3 linked regions of the Canis lupus familiaris genome follow. The protein of the gene in region 3 interacts with the protein of the main gene of each other region in a pairwise test. Links are inferred from orthologs where the notes say so. Each region holds a gene or a part of one and is shown on either strand. Other genes may lie near its edges.

Region 1 (4,485 bases), on a different chromosome or scaffold from region 3:
GTTGACAGCAGGAGCTTTTCGTACATTTCATGTGGTTCCCTGAATAGCCACTAGGTATCTTGGTGAATTGCACAATCTAATGAAACCACTGAAGTTTCATCATTAGTTTCTACTGACTTCCAGAGAATCACAGTCACCTTGTAACCTTCTAGTTTCACCCCTTCCAAATAATACTGTACAGGCTGGGGAGAAATTCTTCTACTCGCTCCCTCATTCCATTCTTCTTGCCCTTCTTTCCAAGACCCATGTGATGAGAATCCCAGAAGCCTAGCAAGTGCTTCTGCCAGCTTTCTTATTGAAAATAGGAAGATGATCGTACTTGATGTCTTGGGGCGTATAGATAGGATACGTGGAAAAGGCTTAGAAAGAGCTTTGAAATTTAAAGATTCCAGCACAATTGCAACTTTTTAAATTGAAAATAAGCTAACGTAGGTGACATCATTCCTTTATTCTTTATCGCATTCTATGACTGGTCCTGTCCAATCTTGCTCTGGTAAGAGCATCCTCTAAACATATGAGGATGTTCACTGCTGAGTCGCTTATAATGAAAACTCAAGAATGAGCTATAAATTCAATGAGCGAAAATAGTCCATCTCTATTAATTATGTTCTGTTTCTATGATTGGGTTATTATGCAGCCATTATAGCTCATATTTGACCTGTAAGTGGTAAGATAGTGGATTATTTTTGTTCTATTATTTATACTTTTCAGTGTAATCCAAAATTTTCCCGATCGTATTACTTTTGGAGTTAGGAACACAAAGTCAGCAAGTGCTGTTAACCGAAAGGAAAGCTCCCGGGTGTAGGTATCCAGGTGAACCACGGGACCTTCTGAAATGTCTTCCTTTGGATCTGTGTTGATCCAGGTGAGCTGTCGGGGAGAAATGTTGAAGCAGGTCAAGAGATGTTCTGCTCAGGTTTCCAGACGTGTGCCCGGGAGGTGCTTCAGTACCTGGCCAAGCATGAGAACACTCGGGACCTGAAGTCTTCACAGCTAGTCACCCACCTTCACCGTGTGGTCTCAGAGCTGCTGCAGGGGGGGACCTCCAGGAAACCATCAGACCCGGCTCCCAAAGCCATGGACTTCAAGGAGAAACCCAGCTCCCTGGCCAAAGGCTCTGAAGGCCCCGGGAAAAACTGTGTGCCGGTCATCCAGCGGACTTTTGCTCACTCGAGTGGGGAGCAGAGTGGCAGTGACACGGACACAGACAGTGGCTACGGAGGAGAATCAGAGAAGGGTGACTTGCGTGGTGAGCAGCAGTACTTCAAAAGCGATCATGGACGCAGGTTCACCATGGGAGAAAGGATCGGTGTTATTAAGCAAGAATCTGAAGAACCCCCAACAAAAAAGAGCAGGATGCAGCTCTCAGATGATGAAGGCCACTTCACTGGCAGTGACCTGATCAGCTCCCCATTCCTGGGCCCACACCCACACCAGCCTCCCTTCTGTCTGCCCTTCTATCTCATCCCGCCGTCAGCGACTGCCTACTTGCCCATGCTGGAGAAGTGCTGGTATCCCACCTCCGTCCCAGTGTTATACCCGGGCCTCAACGCCTCCGCCGCAGCCCTCACCAGCTTCATGAACCCAGACAAGATCTCAGCCCCCTTGCTCATGCCTCAGAGACTCCCTTCTCCCTTGCCAGCCCATCCGGCCATCGACTCTTCTGCCCTGCTCCAAGCTTTGAAGCAGATCCCCCCTTTAAACTTAGAAACCAAAGACTAGGGGACCTTGCCGCACTGCTTTCCTTCCTCCCTACTTCCCCCTCCCCCCTCAAAAAAGAAAGTGTGACTGCAGCAAGATTGTTCTAGTGTGTATGCTGAGATAATCTGAGGCATGGAGAGAAGATTTTTGGGGTCCCTGTGTGCGTGTGTGTATCTGTGTGCGCGTGCGTGCGCCTGCGCTCGCGTGCATCGTGTGCTGGTATAGGACATTAAAGCTCCTTTTGGCGTAGGGAAGATATGAAGGATTGCCTGACATCAGGAGACTTAGGGGGGATTGTAGCAGATCTCTGGGCTTTCCCCCACCCGGAGAATAGCCCCCTCAGATACATCCAAATCAGCTGGATTTTCAAAAGCTTCAAAGTCTTGGTCTGTGAGTCAGTCTTCGTTTTGGGAGCCGGGTCTGTGGCTTTGAGAGAAAGGTACTTTCAAAAGAGGGCTTTCCAGAGCGCAGTTCCCAGCCAGCTCTAATGACCCCACCCTTCTCCCTTTATTGTTGCGGTGACTCACCGAAAGGGGAGAGGGCAGCCACACTGAGCTTTCTGCTAAGTGGTGAGGTAGCAGACACTGGCATAGCACGGTAGTGGTTTGGGGAGATTTCTGCAGGTCTGCTCCCCACCCGCTGCTGCCTTCTCCGGTGAATAAAGAGAATGTAGTTCCCTTCTCAGGCTTTCGTAGTGATTAGCTTAATAAGGAACTGAAAAGGGCCCCCTGGTCAAGCTGAGCTGCCAAGGAATGAGGGAGGAGGCCCCAGGGCCTCTGGTGCCTATTCCTAGGTCTCACCTAGAAAATGATCTTGCTGTCCCAGGAACCAGAGCAGGGTCTGCGAGATGCAGGTGCCTATGCTGCAGTCATCCCCAAAATGCATAAAGCCAAGTAACAAATTGCTACCTTCAACGAGCAGAGCTAGACTCAGTTTTCAGTTCTATCCTAAAACTCCTTTACCAAGCTTAGCTTAAAGGCCTAACCAGCTCTTGGCACAGCAAGATCCTTTCTGCAGGCTAATTCCCCTCGCCCGACGGCATAGGGAGTGTCCTTATTGCTAAAAAGGATTCTGTCTCCTTCAAAGAAGTTTTATTTTTGGTCCAGAGTACTTGTTTTCCGACTCATCCAGCTAGCCCTGCACCAGCTTTTTGAAATGCACTATGCTTGATCGCCGATCGTGTTTTAACTTTTTCTTTTCCTGTTTTTATTTTGGTATAAAGTCATTGCCTTTATTTGTAAAACTGTTATAAATATATATTATATAAATATATTAAAAAGGAAAATGTTTCAGATGTTTATTTGTATAATTACTTGATCTACAAAGTGAGAAAAATGAATGTATTCCTGTTTTTGAAGAGAAGAATAATTTTTTTCTCTAGGGAGAGGTACAGTGTTTATATTTTGGAGCCTTCCTGAAGGTGTGAAATTGTAAATATTTTTATCTATGAGTCAATGTTAAGTAGTTGTTTTAAAATACTTAATAAAATAATCCTTTTCCTGTGGAAGAGAAAAGATGGTCTTTTGCATTTTTTTAGAATGCCCCAGTTGTGTGATACGGCTGTCTTCTTCCCTCCCCTCTTGGCTGGAGGCAACAACTAGTTAATCTTGGCGTCATTTCATTCAGCTTTTTATGTGCCTTGTATTCAGACAGAATAAACTTGGTCAATTTCATGGTAAATATTTGTTTAAATTTTTTTTTTTTAACTAACGGTTGCTAAAGTTCATGGCCACCCTGCGCCTCCTTCCAGCATTAGGCAAAAAAAAGTACATTGTCCCTGTCCCCCCAACCCCAGCCTGCTTTTGTCATGATCCTTAGAGCTTGACAGAAAATCAAATTATAGAATCGTTGGGCCTTAGGATCTGGGGAGCTTGCTGGAGGGGTAGGCACATGGAGAAAAGATTTAATGGATTATTATGCAATAATAATTGGTGCTGGGGATAGCATCCTCTGCCAAGCCAGTCTAACTTTTTTGAGTCTAGCAAAGTCTAATGGATTTGCCATATCCTGTCTTATTGCTGCTGAAGGCAACATTCCATAATTATTTTCTACATCCTTCCTGGACTTCCTCTCGTTGGGTGTGTTTGTGCGTGAATGAATATTGGTGTTCCTTAGTCAAGTGCTCTTATGAAGAAAAAAAATTTCCATGGGAAAAGAAGTGGGAAATGACCGGGTCGAGTATTTTTGCCTCTCCCCTTCTCCCCATCAGGGATGTCCCTGCTGGCCAGTGCCTGGCTTGCCATGCTTCAGATCCCCAAGTATCTGAGTCCTCTGGGAACCCTCTGGATGTCTGCAGCCTGAGCAGGGAACCTGCCCCCAGGGAGTTCCCAGCCAGGCAAAGGCACCACCTGCCCCTCATGACTTTGCTTCAGATGTCGCCTTCACTGTCTCCTGACCAGCCAGCCAGCAGGTGAGAGCGAGCATTGCCTGGCTGTGTGAGATGCGGAATGCATACTCTGAAGGACGGAGTTCTCTCCAGGCAGCATGGCACCACGGAAGGAGCACCGCACTGGGAGTCTAGAGACAACCCATGGCCTCTCATCTGTCTGCCTTCCAAGCCTGGTCTTGACTAGGTAAAATCAGGATGCTGAGCCCTTATCACATGCCCTATAGCGAGCAGATGACAAATTCTGGAAGTCTCTCCTCCTTGCAGCTCCTTAGGGCTTCTAGGTCTCCCCCCTCCATCCCGGCCCAAGTCCCTGAAATGCCCCCATGAATTGCTAGGCTTCTCTGGCTAGACTTTTGGTAAAAAACCTGAGCAAGTCAAGTTTATCCTGGGGATGG
Region 2 (4,332 bases), on a different chromosome or scaffold from region 3:
GAGCAGGTAGTTACTGAGCCCCTACTGTATACAATGGATGCAGAGTGAGCACACGTGTATTGTGTCCTCCCATCTTCATTAGGACAGGTTGTAGTAGGGCCATTTCTCAAGCAAGGAACCTGAAGCTCAGCTCAGGTAACTTCTAAACAGCTGAGTTAAACCCTGCTCTGCCTTCTTGAAAGTCCTGGTTTTCTGGCCTGTTAAAAATGTACCAGGTGACTTAGCAAGTGAGTGAAGCTGTCCAAGCATGGTCCCTCGCTCTTGGGCACCTGCTGGCCTTGTTGCATGGGATTTGCAAACCCACATGAACTTCAGAAATCCCCAGTGTCCAGTAATGGAGGGACCTGCGGACCCTGCCTTTTCTGTTTCCCTTTTTGTGTGTTGAGCCAGCTTACGAGCATACCCCTGCCTTTAGTCTCTGGTGACTTAGCAAAATGCCTAGCTATCAAAAACTGTTTTAGATGCTGTTGTGATTAGTGAGGTAGAAAGTCATTTAATGAATTACCTTATTTTGGTTGACAGATACCGAAAATGCAACTATGGTGAGCCTCTTGTGAATTTTTTTTCTCTAGTTTCTGCTGAGGATGAGGGCCTGTGCTTTCACAAAGGATTCTTTTGGTTTTTGGTTTTTGGTTTTTTTAAAACTGGGATTAGATTGTGTGGCCAGCTCAGTTGGAAGAGTATGCGACTCTTGGTCTTGGGGTCATGAGTTTGAGCCTCACATTGGGTGTAGAGATAACTTAAATTTAAAAAATTTAAAAATGAGATTTGCGTGTGTATGTGTGTATGCATACACACGGTGTTTCTGTAACTTTTCTTTTCCCATATCTATACCTCTCTAAAGCTTGTTGATGCTCCTGAAGGTGTGCTCTGGCTTGAAGGTTGAGACCCTGGATGCTGGGTTCGCATCAACTCTTGTCTTTCTCACCTGTGAGATGAGAACGATCATACTTGTTCAGGTTGTTGGGAGTATTTAGTGATTCTATGTAAAGTACTTGGGATAGTGATTCACAGGGGAGCTTGACTCAGTGCAGTGATTATTTGAAAGGTCCTGGGCTCAGTCTGGGAGCCTGAGACAAAGTACAGGGCTCGTGGGCAGTGGGCAGTGGAGCCCTGCAGGCGGGGGCAGGGCTGGCCCTGCACACTTCTCACCCAGCCTCTCTGCCCTGTGTTGTCTCTGCAGAGCGCCGCCCCGCTGGCAGATCACCCCACCAGGCCACGCCTGCCCCGAGGTGTGAGCTGATTGGGATGGTACCCCGGGAAGGCCCAGAGTCTGCCCAGTGCCCGTGCCCTTCCCTGGCTAGCCTGAATACCAAGGATGTGCTTCGGAGAAAACACAAGCGGAAGAGTCGACAGCACCAGCGATTCATGGCCCGGAAAGCCCTTCTGCAGGAGCAGGGGCTGCTGAGCATGCCCCCCAAGCTGGGACCCTCCCCGCTGCCCATGCCATCAGAGGCACTGCCGGGCACTGAAGCCACCAGCAGTGGGATGCAGCGTCTGAGGAATGAACCTGGAGGTGCCTCGTGGAGCAGAAAGCCTACCCCCCGGGAATCCGCAGGGCCCCGGCCCAGCAAATGTGTGGCCATCGACTGTGAGATGGTGGGCACAGGACCCCGAGGGCGGGTGAGTGAGCTGGCCCGCTGCTCTGTAGTGAGTTACCATGGCGATGTCCTCTATGACAAGTACATTCGGCCTGAGATGCCCATCGTGGACTACCGCACTCGCTGGAGTGGTGTCACTCGGCAGCACATGCGCAAGGCCATCCCCTTCCAGGTGGCCCAGAAAGAGGTGAGGACATAGGTGAGGACATGTGTGGATGGGGGATGGCCAGGGAAGGGCAGCCCTGGGTTTGAGTCACCACTCAGCTGCTGGAAACGAGTTTGGGAAAGTTACTTAACCTCTGTGTAACGTGTGGCTTCCTTCTCCATAAACAAGGGTGCATAAAATCTGGACCCACCTCCATGGGAGGGTTGCTGGGTAGTCTTTGGGATAATGTTTGTGGAAAGACCGCCACTTGGAAGATGTGAAAGGCTCACAAGTTACATTTTCTTTTCGGTTGTAAAAGTATGATGTATCTATTTAGAATTTGCAAGGCCCACAGTCCTGTCATCTTCAGGCATCAGCGTTTCCATATTTTTTTAGTTATCCGGAGCTTTGAAAAAGATCAATTAGTGATTGGGATCGCACTAATGTGCTAGGAGTTCCCAAACGTATTTGACCATAGGAAGCACCTAAAGCACTGTTAAATCTTGAATCTTTGTCCCCAGATCCTTCCATGGAGATTCTCATGGGCTTGGGGATGGCTTTGAAAAATCATCATGCTGTGCAAACGTGCACATGACCTCCCTGGGGCCTGAGAAGGATGGAAGGCAGGGAAGAGAGGCATGCACTATGCACGTGGTGAGCGCTGAGCCAGAGACCAAAGGTTTCAGAGGTGGGAAGCGGAGTCCTGTATGGCCCCTTGTCCAGGGGCAGGATCCTGAGGAGACAGGCCATGTTGGCTAATGCTAACAAAAGCTGCTGTTAATGGGCTTATCTCTAGTGCCAGGCACAGTTCTGTGGACGTCATCCAGTGGGTCTTTATCCGTCGCCTCCTATGTACTGAGCTTTCATCGAGCATCACTAGTCAAGTCAAACACCGTCCCTGCTGTTTACACTGAGCTAACATGGGGGCAGGTGGATAGACTGTGCCAGACCTAGAGGTGTCCTTAGAAAACGTGATGAATCCACTCCACCACCATGGGAGAGAACAGCCCGGGTCCTGATGTGGCTGGGCCAGTCATGTGGGAGGCCTCCTGGCATGGAAGCCGAGGCGCCCCGAGAGGACTTGGCACAAGGTTGAGTGGGGTGGGGGAGTGCAGGGAAGTCTTCCAGTCTGAGCAGAGAGCCTGTGCCAGTAGAACAGAGTTGCTTGTATTGATCAACTAGAAGACTTCTTCCAGGAGCTACTTCTTAAAATGCTCAGACCCACCCCGGGGAGACAGCACTCTTACTTGTTCGAGAGCCTAAGTGTGCCCCGGGTCATAGTGAGTCGAAGGCCCAGGACTCAGACATGAGGCTGCGTGGCTGACCATGGAGCTCGTGGGTGCCCTCTCCACACTGCCCCCCCCCCCCTTTGGAGGGATCTGTGTGCCAGTGGCCAGGGTGGCAGCACATGTCTCGTGCCAGCTTGACAGCAGGGTCTTCCTCCCTCCTTCACTCATAGATCCTCAAGCTCCTGAAGGGCAAGGTGGTGGTGGGGCATGCGCTCCACAATGACTTCCAGGCCCTCAAGTACGTGCACCCTCGGAGCCAGACCCGGGATACCACTTACGTGCCCAACCTCCTCCACCAGCCTGGCCTCCACACCCGCACCCGGGTGTCTCTTAAGGACCTGGCCCTGCAGCTGCTCCACAAGAAGATCCAGGTGCGTGGGACGGGAGAAGGGGCCATGGGGTGTGCCTTCGGGCTTCCAGTCATTCCACCTTCCCCAGTCCCCGGGACCAGGGCGCTAAGTATGATGTCCCACACGTAGAGGCAGCCCTGGGTGTTTTCTCCACCATCCCTATTGTGACAGCCAACCACGTTCTTGCAGGCTGGGCTCTTGCAGACCTGTCCTCCACCCGGTCCCTGGCTCTGTCCCTGCCCTTCATGGAGAATCCACAAGGCGGAGCCTTTCCCAGGGGCAGCCAGTAACTCTCGCTCCCACTGTCCTTCTCATTATTCCGTCCGCTCTTCAAGCCTCTGAAGTCAGTTATACCACGGGTTATGTTTGAGTTGGGGACGCAGGGTCAGAGAGGATAGGTGGGGTACGGGATGTCTGAGATTGCTGTGCTCTCCTGAGCAGCACCCATGCCCTGCCCCCGTCCCGAGCCATACACAGCTGTTCCGAGAGTTCTGGGCCTGCACCAGATCCAGAATGGCGGGCAGTGATGAGGGCTCTTGTCTGCAGGCTGGCCAGCACGGGCACTCATCAGTGGAAGATGCCACGACAGCCATGGAGCTCTATCGGCTGGTGGAGGTGCAGTGGGAGCAGCAGCAGGCCAGCAGCCTGCCGCCCCGCCCGGAGGACCGAGAGCCTGACAGCAGCACGGACATGGAGCAGTACATGGAGGACCAGTACTGGCCAGAGGACCTGGCCCAGGGCACCCACGGAGAAACGGAGGCACAGGACAGAAGGGAGTGAGGCAGGAGAGCCCTGGGCAATTCATCCTGGGCAGGGCAGGGTGCAGCTAGCCTGTTGCCAGGGTCCGGGGAGTTGGGATCATCTATCCTTTTGGCTCCCTCTGCCCAGGGCTCTTGTGGGCACTTCCCCCCCATGGTTTGCTAATGGCACTTTATAGGCACTGTGAA
Region 3 (5,556 bases):
TCCTGGGCAGAGGGGAGCACCACTAAAGAAAGGCTCATGGAGGGACGTGGGCTCACGCACCCTGCACTCCTCCCTGGCTCCCCGGCCCAGGCGCCCCTCGCCCCACCCCCTTCTCTACAGCTGTCCTCATCTCCAGGCCCAGGCCCTGGCCCTTCTCACTCTCACACTCACACGCTGCAGAAGCCCAAAGACTCCACGGAGTTGGACTCGCTCTCCTCCCCCTCTCCAACGTTGGGCTGGGAGGCCACAGTCTCGGGTCTGAACACACCCACCACCTGTAAGCCATGGGGGGAGAATCGGGACGGGAGGAGGGCTGACGGGAGGGCTGACGAGAGGGCGGCAAGGCAACAGGAGACGCACAGGGGACGTGGGCAGCAGAGGCTCCAGCGACAGGCTGCAGGTCGCACTCACCTTGCCAGTGGTGGCACTGACCAGCTGGGCCTGGCAGTCCACGGAGCCAGTGAGGATCAGGCTGCCGTCCTGGTTGGTGGCGACACAGGTCAGAGGGCCCTGGTGACCCTCGGTCCCTAGGAGGGGGCAGACAGCTAGGTCAGGCTGCCCCCCAGGCCCCGAGTCCTGCCCCAGGTCTCCCGCACAGACACCCCCAGCGAACCCTTCCCCTGCCTTAGAGACCTTTTAGTACGTGGATCGGACTTCCCTGCTTCAGGTCCCAGATCCTGATGGTGCCATCTTCATAGCCGACCACAGCTCTCTTCCCTGAAGGGCCACAGGCACAGAGGTGGTCAGATGGCACCCTCAGGCACACCCAGCAAGGGAATGAGGGGGGCGGGGAGACAGGAAAGTAAGGGAGCAGACCCTGCCCCACGGAAGGAAGAGTGTGCAGTCCAGGCCGGAGAGGGGACGCGGTCTGCTCTGGGGCCTGGGTCCACGCTCCGGACGGCGGACCTCGGAGCTGGCCGGCCAGGACCCGGAGGGAGCCCAGGAGGGTGAGTACACCTGGAGCCAACCTCTGTACACCCAGGGAAGGACGGACAGAGAGCTGCCCTCACCATCAGGGAGGACGCGGCCACAGGTAGCTGGGCAGTTGGGGCCTTGGAAGGTCTTGCAGTCACCATTTGGGACCTTCCACATCCAAGTGTTGCCGTCAGCGGTGCCCGCCAGGAGGACAGGTGCCCGAGGGTGCCACTCCATCCACTGGGCAGAAAGGAAGGGTCAGCAGGGAGGCGCCTGTCACCCCATCCCGCCTAGGAGCCTGTCCCCTAAGCTCCCCCCAAGCTGTCCTTGCTGCTGAGGTCAGCGGGGCCTGGACGGGAAACGGAGTAGACACCCTTGCTGCAACCTGAGAGCGCACTGGCTCAGAGCTGGCTGGGTCCGGGACAGGCGACACCGGACCCCCAAGCCCTCACCTCCCACCCAAGGCCCCACACAGCCAAACACCACTCTGACGATCTCACCTCCAGGTCTCCTGCTTCAAAGGACCACACTTCCTCCTTGGTGTCGACCTGCCACACTTTCAAGAGGCCACTCATGTCCCCGGTGGCCACTAGGGTAGAGTCGTGGCTGAAGCCAGCACAAGTAACAGAGTCTTTATGGCCTGCAAAGCAAAGTAGGTAGAAAGAGAGGAGAACGTCAGGGTATCTGGTGCTGGTGACACACGACCCAGGCGTCCGGCCCCCAGGAAGGACCAGCTGGGAAGGAAAGAGGGGGGGTTCCCACCGTAACAGGTGACTCGAGTCACTGCCCGTGCCAGGCGCCAATACCCCCAGGCCTCCCTAGGGGTGGCAATGCTAGCCTCCCACTCAACCGTGCCTCGCTCAGGCTTACGTCCTCTGCCCCAAATACCTCCACACCTCTGCCCCAAATACCTGCTCCCCCTTTCTGCCTAAGCCAGTGCTACCTCCTCGCAGACCCTGCCCAGACTCCTTTGGCCACTACCAGCTCCCTCCCCTGCACCCAAAACAGACTAGATCATCTGCTTTGAAGTCCTCGGGTCCAGCACAGGATGGAGATCAGTAAGTAGCTGCTGGAGGCATGAGCACAGCAGGCTAGCCCCCCTAAGACCTCCAGGAGAACAGGACCTCAGCCGTGCTCCCTCACCTGCACACTCAAAGAGCAGCTCCCCATCGCTGAGCCTCCACACGAAAGCTTTGTCATCTTCACCCCCCGTCACGGCCAACGTGTTGGTCTTGGGGTCCAGGCTCACACAAAACACAGACGCTGTCCCAAGAGAGAGTCCACGAGTGAGCGGACAGGGCTGCCACCCAGGGTCCTGTCCTTCGGGAAGCCCACCCGCTTCCACCCAGAGCACCATGTCTTTCCTCCAGAAAAGAAGGGTGCATCCAAGTTCTTCTAAGTTTCAAGCATCAGGTTGTTGGAGAAATCCCTCTCTACCCTTGCCAAGCTCCGAGTCCTTCTGCAGGGCTGCTGCCTTCACCACCCCAGACTGACGCTCAGACCAGAGCAGTGGACACGTGCAGGGCTTACAGGCTCAGCCGGGGCTGCCACCGGGCTGAGCACGGAGTGAGGGCACCCCGTCACTTGCCTTATTACGGACCAGTATTTGAGAATAGTATACAAAATTTGCTCAGAAAAAGTACTGCTACCTCTAATTTACGACAAGGTAACTTCTGGAAAAGAAACAAAGACCTAGAGACGCTACAAAGACCACAGATCTGTAAGGAGCAAAAGCAGATCCGACGCCCGGTGCCTGGGCGGGCTCCAGCAGCCCAGCTCTCCCCCAGGCCATGGGGCGTGAGCTCCTCCCGGGCCCTCTCCCTGCCCCGGGGAAGGCTCCGGGCACAGCAGGCGTCTGATGTTCAGCGGCGCCGGCGCACGGGGTTTACCAGAGACCTACCTGAGTGCAGCGCGAAGGTGACTTCGCTGTCGTCCGGGCCCTCCATGCTGCCCACCACTCCTTCCTGGGGTTCCAAAACCCAGCCCTCCTCGTTGCCCTCTTCCTCTTCTTCCTCTTCTTCGAAGTCCACGTCTTCCATCTCCTGGGCCAGATCATCTGCTTTGGGGAGAGGGTTAAAAGGTGGGGCTCGGCAGCCAGAAGAGGCTTAGCGGAGAAGTGTGGGGAGCTGGGGTGTAGCAAGAGGGTCGGCTGAGGTCACACGGAGGGGGTGAGGCGGCGGGGAGGGGGGCTCTGGGGGCGGAGGACGCCGAGGTGGAGGACCCGGGCACGGCCAGGGGCCGTGTGGGAAGGGAGGACCGAGGGGATGACGGGAAGGGGGTGTGTGAGGGGAAGGGCCGGAGGAGGCGTCAGGGGAACCCCCACCCCTGCCAGGCCTGGGAACTACGTGTGGGGGCAGGGCAGGGAGGAAGGGCGACGGGGAGCGGCAGGAACGGCCGGAGGGGAGGGGGGCCGGGGGGAGAAGCAGGGGCCGGGGGCCAGGGGGGCGCCTCCCGTCCCGCGGCCCGAGCGGCGGCAGTTCTCACCCGGGTCGGGCGGGCCAGGATCCAGCTCTACCACCTCGATAATCTCTTCATCACCATGGAAGCTCAGGGTCTCCAGGGGGGGGGTGTCAGCAGCGGCCCCGCTCTCCGATTCGGACTCCATGCGGCGCAAGCGGCCGATCCACTTCTCTGGGCCCAAACGCCTCCCAGAGTCAGCTCTGCGCGACGACGCGGAACTCGAGCCCCTCCTCCCGGGAGGAAGTAGGCGTAGGCGACTCCCCGGCAGGAAGAGCGACGGCCGCTAGCCCAATAGCGAAGGGGGCTACCCGGCTGACCCACCAATCACGGGGCAGAGCTGGGAGAAGGGGGCGGGCCGTGGCGGGGAGAACCCAAACTCCGCCCGGCCTGACTCCGCCTCCAACAGGAGGGAAACAAGCGAGCGTGCGCGCCTCCGGGGTCTCCTGGGAAGAGTAGTTCTCCCGGGGCCCCTCGCGGGCTTCTGGGAGATGTAGTTTCTGGTCTGTAGGCAGGACGGAAGGAGCGGGGGAGGCCCCTTACGCAAACTACAATTCCCGGCGGGGAGCGCGGTGAAGGGGGGTGGGATCTGAACATGGCGGCGGTGGTAGCTGCTACGGCGCTGAAGGGCCGGGGGGCGAGAAATGCCCGCGTCCTCCGGGGTAAGGAGAGGGACCCCGGGGAGGGCAAGGCTGCAGGGGATCCCCTTTTTATATACTCCCGACCAGCGATAGCAGGAGGTCATGGCTGTCGGTTCCTGCCCGCACCTCTCTGCGGGATCATAAAGAGTCTGGGGGCTAAGAAAAGATGCTCTCTGGAGGTCACCCAGCCCATCCCCTGCCCTCAAGTTCCGCGACACCTGCAGGGTCATGCTGCGAGAGGGAGCTCCGAGGAAGCCTTTTAGACTCCCGCGCTCCAGGTGTCTCACACTCACCGCAGTGCAGAGGATAGAGCCCCGGGCTTCTGGACGCTTGGGTTCTAGCCCCGGATAATTGGCAGTTTGACCTTGGGCGAAGCAGCTCGTCTCTGGGGGCTTCAGGTTCCTCTTCTACAGAACGAGGGGAAGGAGTAGACTACCTTTAAGCTCCAGTGCTAACGTTCTGCAGTTTGAAAACCTTTTCTCCGATTCCCTTCATACGTCTTATGTGAGCCCCACTGCAGTCCTTCACTTCCTGTCGTCCGAGCAGATGAAGAGCGACGAAGCTCGCCGTCCTGGCACCGGGGTGATGAGCCCGCAGTGACGTGGAAGTGGCTTTCAAAGGTGCCACCTCGATGGCAGTTTTCCCATTTCCCTTTGGATTCTCCCTGGCACTTGTTACTCCAAACCGCAGTCACTCCCCTTCCTCCCCTGGGCTCTCCTCCTCTTACTGACCTTCCTTCCTTCCTTCCATCCACAGGGATTCTTTCAGGAGCCACAGCTAACAAAGCCTCCCAGAGCAGGACCCGGGCACTGCAAAGCCACAGCTCTCCAGAGTGCAAGGAGGAGCCTGAGCCCCTATCCCCTGAGCTGGAATACATCCCCAGAAAGAGGGGCAAGAACCCCATGAAAGCTGTGGGACTAGCCTGGTGAGTTTTAACTAACTCTTTGCCCACCAACGGGGAGTGGCACAGGGGAGGGCGGGACCCAGAAACTTCTCCAAGTTTCAGGTGGTGAGTTGAATCTGAGGTTGTGGGGATGGAACTGCTTGGAGTGAGGATTGGACTCGGAGGAATGAGGCAAGGGGGGTGGGAAAGTATGTGGAATTGGAGACACAGTGAGTTTTCTGTGTAGTAGTAAGCTGAGCTAATCTGATTTGAATTTGGGTCCCTGGCTTTATTCTCTCTTTTGGGAGCTTGGGGTGAAAGGCAATTGAGCTTTCATTGAGGTCACGTGAGAGAGTGTGTATTAGTTGAATAAGGAGCATCTAGAAGGTGTTCAGTGTATCGTTACTTAGATCTGATTCTGACCTTAATACGTATCGTTGATCAATATTAAAAGGAAAGGAGGGGGAAATTAATGTTTTTTCCCCCACACCTGAGGTGTGCCTGTACTTTACAGTGTAATATGTTTAGTTTTTCTGAGATAAATGTTACATCTCCTAAATCCAAAAGATGAAAACATGTAAGAAAAAAATTACATCTCAATTCATAAAGGAGGGAACTAAGGTTCAGAGGTGGGATCCTCGCCAGGTCTTGTGACTCCAT

What was found.
Region 1: the proteins of AAMP (region 3) and BHLHE40 interact in a two-hybrid assay, tested with the Homo sapiens proteins (2 studies listed by BioGRID and IntAct). The link is inferred for Canis lupus familiaris from reciprocal best matches to the Homo sapiens genes AAMP and BHLHE40.
Region 2: the proteins of AAMP (region 3) and AEN interact in binary tests that used the Homo sapiens proteins (3 or more experiments, as listed by UniProt). The link is inferred for Canis lupus familiaris from reciprocal best matches to the Homo sapiens genes AAMP and AEN.

The regions. Positions count from the first base shown.
Region 1 is NC_049241.1:12,716,830-12,721,314, reverse strand, and holds the end of BHLHE40 (class E basic helix-loop-helix protein 40), read left to right. Parts: intron 1-865; coding exon 866-1,722; 3' UTR 1,723-3,215; downstream 3,216-4,485. UniProt on the Homo sapiens protein: Transcriptional repressor involved in the regulation of the circadian rhythm by negatively regulating the activity of the clock genes and clock-controlled genes.
Region 2 is NC_049224.1:52,304,887-52,309,218, forward strand, and holds part of AEN (apoptosis-enhancing nuclease), read left to right. Parts: intron 1-1,183; coding exon 1,184-1,788; coding exon of another isoform or gene 1,789-1,800; intron 1,801-3,205; coding exon 3,206-3,406; intron 3,407-3,931; coding exon 3,932-4,165; 3' UTR 4,166-4,332. UniProt on the Homo sapiens protein: Exonuclease with activity against single- and double-stranded DNA and RNA. Mediates p53-induced apoptosis.
Region 3 is NC_049258.1:24,820,252-24,825,807, forward strand, and holds the start of AAMP (angio-associated migratory cell protein), read right to left. Parts: upstream 3,521-5,556; coding exon 3,400-3,520; intron 2,972-3,399; coding exon 2,816-2,971; intron 2,179-2,815; coding exon 2,059-2,178; intron 1,556-2,058; coding exon 1,416-1,555; intron 1,156-1,415; coding exon 1,011-1,155; intron 718-1,010; coding exon 634-717; intron 528-633; coding exon 412-527; intron 276-411; coding exon 172-275; intron 3-171; coding exon 1-2. Other genes in the region: probable hydrolase PNKD, read left to right, coding at 3,968-4,034, 4,770-4,938. UniProt on the Homo sapiens protein: Plays a role in angiogenesis and cell migration. In smooth muscle cell migration, may act through the RhoA pathway.